2 linked regions of the Oryza sativa Japonica Group genome follow. The protein of the gene in region 1 interacts with the protein of each later gene in a biochemical or structural test. Links are inferred from orthologs where the notes say so. Each region holds a gene or a part of one and is shown on either strand. Other genes may lie near its edges.

The links.
Region 2: the proteins of flowering time control protein FCA (region 1) and flowering time control protein FY form a complex in vitro, tested with the Arabidopsis thaliana proteins (3 studies listed by BioGRID). The link is inferred for Oryza sativa Japonica Group from reciprocal best matches to the Arabidopsis thaliana genes FCA and FY.

What each region holds. Positions count from the first base shown.
Region 1 is NC_089043.1:5,817,410-5,820,776, forward strand, and holds the end of flowering time control protein FCA, read left to right. Parts: coding exon 1-30; intron 31-113; coding exon 114-191; intron 192-279; coding exon 280-807; coding exon of another isoform or gene 808-822; intron 823-923; coding exon 924-1,100; intron 1,101-1,181; coding exon 1,182-1,391; intron 1,392-1,872; coding exon 1,873-1,932; intron 1,933-2,005; coding exon of another isoform or gene 2,006-2,011; exon of another isoform or gene 2,012-2,027; coding exon 2,028-2,066; 3' UTR 2,067-2,074; intron 2,075-2,476; 3' UTR 2,477-2,867; downstream 2,868-3,367. UniProt on the Arabidopsis thaliana protein: Plays a major role in the promotion of the transition of the vegetative meristem to reproductive development. Plays a role in the regulation of flowering time in the autonomous flowering pathway by decreasing FLOWERING LOCUS C mRNA levels.
Region 2 is NC_089035.1:42,529,838-42,534,137, reverse strand, and holds the start of flowering time control protein FY, read left to right. Parts: upstream 1-1,450; 5' UTR 1,451-1,574; coding exon 1,575-1,794; intron 1,795-1,899; coding exon 1,900-1,991; intron 1,992-2,233; coding exon 2,234-2,302; intron 2,303-3,077; coding exon 3,078-3,182; intron 3,183-3,736; coding exon 3,737-3,832; intron 3,833-3,909; coding exon 3,910-3,992; intron 3,993-4,114; coding exon 4,115-4,186; intron 4,187-4,272; coding exon 4,273-4,300.

The DNA of each region.
Region 1 (3,367 bases):
GGGAGTACTGTTACATCAACAACAGATACGGTATGTGGTTCAAATCAATCTTTTTATGACAGTTCAATTCTGTTTGCTTCCATTTGCTTACCTTTGATACTGCAATATCATAGGCCACTTTTCGACCTCAGATGTTCAGCGGAAATGGCTCTTTGTCAAGCCAAACAGCTGTGCCAAGTTCGTCACATATGGTAAACTGGGATATTCGACTTTTTCTGTTCATCAATAGCTTTAGATGGAAAATATCGGTTAAACATCATGATACCTTTTACTTTGTAGGGCATGAACCCTCCTCCCATGGCACAAGGCCATCATCTGGGAGGCCAGCAGATCCCACCTTTGCAAAAGCTACCAGGGTTGCCTCAGAATTTCCCTGTTCAATTGCAGAATAATCAGCTGGGACAACCCTTGCAGGGTCCTGCTCAACAGATTGGTCAGCTTCAAGTTCCACAATCTATGGGTCCTGGTTCTTTTGGCCAGAATAGGTTATCTGGTCAGCTTCCTGTGTCACAGCCGTTGATGCAACAAAATGCTTCCGTCAGCGCTGTGCAGGTGCCTTCAGCCGTGTCCAATTCCATGCAAGCTATTCCCGGGCAACAGCATCTTCCCTCAAATGTTGCACCACAAATGCTTCAGCAGCCAGTGCAGCAGATGCCATCGCAAGCACCACAATTGCTACTCCAACAGCAAGCTGCTTTGCAATCCAGTTATCAATCTTCACAGCAGGCAATTTATCAGCTTCAACAACAGCTGCAACTAATGCAGCAGCAGCAGCAATCGAATCTAAACCATCAACAACCCACACAGGTCGCTGAGCAACATGTATTTTCTATGCATACACCAATGTGTACGCGGTTTGTGTTTAGTTGTATAATGTGGTTTACGGCTGACATTTTTTTTAACCGTTTCTGTTTCCACTACAGGGTCAGCCAGTGCAATCTAGTAACCCTGGTGCCCCAAATGCCATTATTCCATCAAACATTAATACAATTCCCCAGCAGGCTACTTCACCTGCAGTTCCTTTAACCTGCAATTGGACTGAACATACGTCTCCTGAAGGTTTTAAATACTACTACAATAGCATAACTCGAGAGAGTAAGGTGAAGAATTGAAACTCATCACCAATCATTTTAAAGATCGCAACATTTGTGGGTCTCACTCTTAGAGTTATTGTTTTACAGTGGGATAAGCCTGAAGAGTATGTGCTGTATGAGCAACAGCAACAGCAGCAGCAACAGCAGAAACTACTTTTGCTTCAACAGCACCAACAAAAACTTGCCATGCAGCAACTTCAGTCACCACCTCAGGCTCAGACACATCCAGCAATGCAACCTGTCCAACAAATTCCTCAGGCACAACAAGGACAGCAACAAATGCAGATGAAACAGCAGGTGCACATGCTGTTCCCTGAGCTATAATTCTAATATGCACATTACTATTTGATTCCAGCTTCGCATGATCTATATTCTGCTTCTATCTTTTTCCTTCTTTCCTGTTGCCAGCTCATTAAAGAGATCCCTTTTCTGTTTCTTGAGTCTTGTCAAACCAAGAAAACTATTCTAATGAATGTTTCTACCTAGCACTGTGTTTCAGTACATGTGCTTCTTCTATGTATTCAAACCTTTTATTTTTTCATTCTCAACTTTGATTTGATTACTTTGTCTATCAGCACTTTTGACACGTCAGGTTGTATCCGCTTCAAGAGACAAAAACTTCTTTGTTGAATATATGATCTTGAAACACTGTATAATAGCGATAAAATTTGAATGAACTTTACTGTTGAGATTTTAACTTTCCTGTCTCTTAAATCTACATTTGAAGTTGTAAGTTGTGTAAGATTTGAACATTTTACATCTCAAACATTTTATATAGGAATTGAATTATACTCAGCTACAGACTCCTGGTGCTATTGATCCCAGTAGGATACAACAGGTACTATTTAACATTACTTTTTGTTCTCAATATGTTGATCTTAGATTCTTCATTGATTAATTTCAATTAACAGAATTAATCTCGGTAACATTTAGGGCATCCAATCTGCACAAGAACGTGCTTGGAAAAGTTGAGACTGAAGGTGAGAAAAATACCTACCTACCCTCAGTATGGCATTCTTTGTGAACTATATGAAAGTAAACACCAGTGACCATTTCATGTTGTGTGGAATGCAGTGCAAGAAAAATGATTTTTTTTTTGGGTTGTAAAACAACAGTGGTTTTTTGAAACTGTATGCTTTAAACTGTAATGAGAAACTGCTGTCATGTTTAAAAGGGTGACCTGAATCAAATCTTTACATGCGATGCTGAGATACAGATAGTTTTATTTGACGAGAAGTAGAGAACTTGAGGGATTTTAGTTCCTTTGATCCATTTTCTAGCAGATTTTTTTTTCTTAAAAAGCAATGAGATAAATGCTGTTGTGTTATCGGACGGACCAGCGTGTACTGACACATGATTAACTTGTTACTCTTTTTTTTCAGGTGAATGATAAATTGGTAAGCTGTTACTCGGAAATGAGCTCCACTCAACCTGCTGCCTCCATCAAATGCCTTGACGGTGCCTGATGCCTGAGTGGTGGCCAAGCGGCCATGCCGATCGTTGTAACTCTGGATATAGCTTAGATTGATGTCTAAAAAGTTGTAGCTCCAATCCGTGTAAAATGTTTGCAGTCTAGGCCTTGTACCGCTGTAACATTTCTGCTGATTAGAATGTTCGCTTTCCTTGCATAGGCAACTGCCAGAGGTTCGTCGCTAGTATGATTTTGGGCATTTCATGACATGTCCCCAGCAATCATCATTTAGATTGTTTCCTCCTTTGAAAGCTGTTTGCTCTCAAGACATGCTAGATAAGAATAGATTTGGCCGCGGCGGGAATCAGCATGTTTGTCCGCTCCCAACTACAATGGCCGACCGACGTGGGCCATTTCTCACATCGATTAGAACATGGTTATCTTTGGAGTACATCTTATTAAGCCCGTTACATTGGACAATGATGTGACGTCGCAGTTCCAAGATTTTTGATAGACTAAACTGGAGACGTATGTGCAACGTTTTAAGATACGAATTGAGATATAAACAAAAATTCACGGATATAAACAAAAAGAGGGAGAACACTTTTTTTTTGGAACAATGCAGGAGAAAAGTACAGGATTTATAAAAGCCACAATGATACATATCTGGGCCCGTGTAGCTAAGCTGTACCTTTTTTAAATCAAGACCACCTAGAGCAGCAGGAAGTTACACCTACCAGGTAGGAATGCATAAGAAGAGTTGAAATAACACATCTTGAAATTTCTTCTCAAACGTGTCCGACGCGACAAGCCATTAATTAACTAACATTGGTGTGATTATGCATTGCAAACTTCATTAGTC
Region 2 (4,300 bases), on another chromosome or scaffold:
AATATTTTATATGGTTCAGTTTTATTTGTCCCTTTTTTTCTAGTGATTTTCAAAATGACACTGTTTTACAGTGGGTGGTTTTTTTTCATTGTGGGAGAAGTGTGATTTAGGTTCTGTTTGTTTCGGTTTAAGATTATTATAATATAGATTATTGAGCCATATTACAATAAGTTGGATTATAATAAACCGACATAGAATAATCTGTTAGTTGTTTGTTTCTACTGGACTGTTGGATACTTTTGGTAAAAAAGATAGGGAAATTCTTGATTATTCAACACCGGATCGTTATTAGCTATTAGCCACCCAATAATTAAAGAAAGCACCTTTAGAGTGGATTACCATATTATAGTAATCTGGCTCATAGATTGTAATAATTATCATAATAAGTTATCTGTTTGTTTCGACTTATTTATAATAATCTAGAATATAATAATCCTAAACTGAATCAAACAAAGTCTTAAAGAGAAGGTCGACGACAACTTCATTTTTACGTTTTCAACAATAACTACAACATGGTACGTGGATATGCACGCACTTAGAAACTCATACAATAATATTAGATTATGTAAACAACTAGACATCGGTGCTAAAATTATCAAATTCAACTAGAAACCCACATGTACAATACCAGAACGAGTCTAGAGGATCTATGCCTAATGATCTTTTTTTATAGAATATATAGGAATATAAAAGCACAAAAAATCAATACACGTGCAAAAACACATATATTTAGGACGTGGGGGAAAATATAACGTGTTGTGTCTGACATAAAATTCGCCGGATATGGATTTTTTAGGCAGATATAAATCTTAATAAAACTATCACTATTGATTATGATAATTTGAAGTTATATAGCTTGATTTGCCTAGACTAGGTGAATGTTTAAATTCCCATGAAATATAGTAGAATCTCCTACGGAATCTAAAAATACAAAATTTCTCCCCTAAAAAGTAAAAACCCTTCATCCAAAGAAGCACTAGACCATTCGCATATTTGTTTAGAGAAAAACTACTTTGAGTTTGCTTTTATTTGGAGGAAGCAACAGGAGCTTTTTTTTTTTTTAGAAAGAGCGGATAATTTATTTATTACCATCCACATTTACATTCCTATTCATATTACAAGGAGGATTTGAGAACCAAAGATAACGCCCCTCCTGTAAAGTAGAAGCAAACTTAGCTAAGTTGTGAGCATCAAAATTACAAGCCCGATTTTCATGACGAAACTCTACTTTTGCAAAATGCTTCCTTTTTGCCTCAGTATCATTTAGGACTGCTAAATATTGGCACCTTGGTTTGGAAGCAACAGGAGCTAAATACACGAGAGGCCTCGCATGGGCTAAAAATCCTTGCCGTCAACGTGGATGGGCCGGCCTTGAAGGCCCATCTAAATGAGGCCAGAGTGGGCCTGTATGGCCCAAATACATCTCGCGAGGCAAGCGAGGCAGCACAGCACTCGACCACTCGCCTCACGGAGCTCACCCTCCCGCGGCGTCTCCTCGGCGGAAGAACCCCGAACCCCCGCGCCGCACGGATCCAAAACCCTAGCTCAGGTCGGCGGGGCTCGCGGCGGCGGAGATGATGCAGCAGCAGCAGCAGCCGCCGCCGCCGCCGCCTCCGCCGCAGCACCCGCCGCCGCCTCAGGCCGGGGGCGGCGGCGGCGGGGAGTTCTACCGGGGCCCGCCGCCGCAGCCGCCGATGCGGCAGCTCTCGGCGGCGTCCTCCACCAACATCCCCGGCGACTACGCCGCGCACCAGGGGCACCCCCCGCCGCAGCAGAACCAGCCGCCGTACGACGGTAACAGTGCCGCTCTTTTGGTAGTTTCGTCGCTGGCTAGGGTTAGGGGCACAGCAGCGGTATTGGTGCGCGTTCTTATGTTATCGTAATTTTGGCTCAATTCAGCTTATGGGGACAATTTCGGTGCTAAAAGGATGCGGAAGCCTGTCCAGCGGCGAACAGTGGACTACACAAGCACAGTCGTCCGTTATGTTCAAGTATAAATATAACAAACTTATTTCTCAAGCAGTTATAGTGATATATGTTTTGTTCTATTTTGTGGGAGCCTATTATACAGTTGAACTTTGCTTACTATATGCTCCTTTTACTGTGCCTGCTGCAAACATCACATGAATATGAAATGCTCATAAGTTGATTTTTCTGTGCAATAAGATCTAGCACCCTGTATTTTTCTTATTCTTCTGCTAGCACTGATCACCATTATGTATATGACATGCAGGCTCGCATGTGGCAGCGGGATGCTAGGGACAGGCCCACTGTGCAGCCGACTCCAGCTGCTGTTCTGGACGTATGTTACCTTACCCATTTGCCTTGCTTGTAACCAACATGTTAAAAGATAGTTGCCATACTGTTTTCTGTTTTTAGACTTTTATACTTCTGACGCTCACATTTCTTTTGTAATTTGGATTTCAACAAACCACTATGTACATTATATTGATGTCCTTTGCAATCTCATGATTGGGAAGATCTTGAATATTCTTGAGTCAAGGTTCTGGTTAAACGGAAATGTTATGCAGTAAAAATGATAGTCTTAGAAAAAGAAAACTATATTGTTGTATGAATGGATTGTTGTATGTGGATTAATCAAACTCCTGTTGCTATCTAGGGAGAGTGCCTATCAGATCCTGTCTTTGGTTGTTGTTTTTGGGCCATTTAGCTTGCTAATTAATGCATAAGTTTTCAGTTTTGCCACAACTATGTAAATCTGTCTGGATGTTATTTATGATATATATGTGAGATAAATCCTCCATGGTACAACGTAAAACTGAGGGTGCTCAATGGATTAAGCTGACAAAATTAGATCTTTAACTCTTCAGTCTTCAGGCAATATTTTACGTAGAACATACTTATGTCTCATTCCTTTTAATTAGCTGAGTGCTGCTATTTTGGTTAAGGGTTTTGGATTGATTACTGGGTAGTGCTGTCATCTTGGACAAAAGATGATTAAGTTTGATGAATTAATTGTTCAGTTTGGATGATTATGAAATTGTCTGTATCTACTGTATTTTGAATACATTGTCTGGTATCTGGATATCCTGATTAATGTGGGTTTTTTTTTTCAGATGTTGCCGTCTGTTGCATACCCCGATAATCCCTCAACAAGTTTTGCTGCAAAATTTGTACATTCATCAATAAACAAGAACCGATGCTCTATTAATCGGGTCTTGGTGAGTTCTATGATATCCATCTCTATGCTTTCCTAGTATCCCAACTGCTATTTTTATATTTTTCAAAGAGCTCCACTAAGCCTTGGCTAGTGCATGGTCACTGAAGGACAGCGATACCTTCAGAATGCTGAAAACTATAGAATCGATCTAACTTCTAGGTGTTCACCACCATTCACCTTATTGCTGAGCTTCCTTTTCTTCTGAAATCTAATTTTATATTTATCTGTAGGCAGCTACTCTTACCATTTTAAATCAAATATATTTGATGGTATATTATATTTTTACTTGTTTTCTACATTTTTTATGGTAGAATTAAGGATTGATGGCAGTACAACTTTAAAATGTCACTTGATAGGCTCACACACTGTTTGAAAAATGTTCCAATTTTTTTACACCAGCTAGTGCAGAGGGTTGATAACTCCATTCCAAGTATCTTTATATTGGTGTAATCTAACTGAATTCGTATATTGTGTACCACGTTGATATTATTAGGCTAAATATGATTTCTCCTTTTGTCATTTATGTGTCTAATGTATCGTTATTTGTTGATAAAGTGGACTCCCACAGGGCGTCGGCTTATTACGGGATCACAGAGTGGTGAATTCACCCTATGGAATGGCCAATCTTTTAATTTTGAAATGATCCTTCAGGTATTCTATAATTTTGCTCCAGATTTTCTAGTAATGTGTCATTGAGTTTGCTGATTTTTGGAGGAATTTGATAATAGGCTCATGACCAAGCTGTAAGATCAATGATTTGGAGTAACAATGAGAACTGGATGGTCACTGGTGATGATGGTGGTGCAATCAAGTATGTTGGCCTTTTGAATTTTTATCACTGTCAGTCTGTCACCCTGTTGGATACTGATCCTTAAGTTAACATGTTGATCTTTTCACTGACATGTCAAGTGCACGTTTTGACTTCCTTTGTAGGTATTGGCAAAGTAACATGAACAATGTTAAAGTTAATAAAACAGCTCACAGAGAATCAGTTCGTGACTTGAGGTGATGGCAGCCCCATGTGCTTTTTTCTTTACTTTACCTATACCAAGTTAATGTTCATTCTCTGTTACAATGCATCTTTTAAACAGCTTTTGTAGAACAGACCTGAAGTTTTGC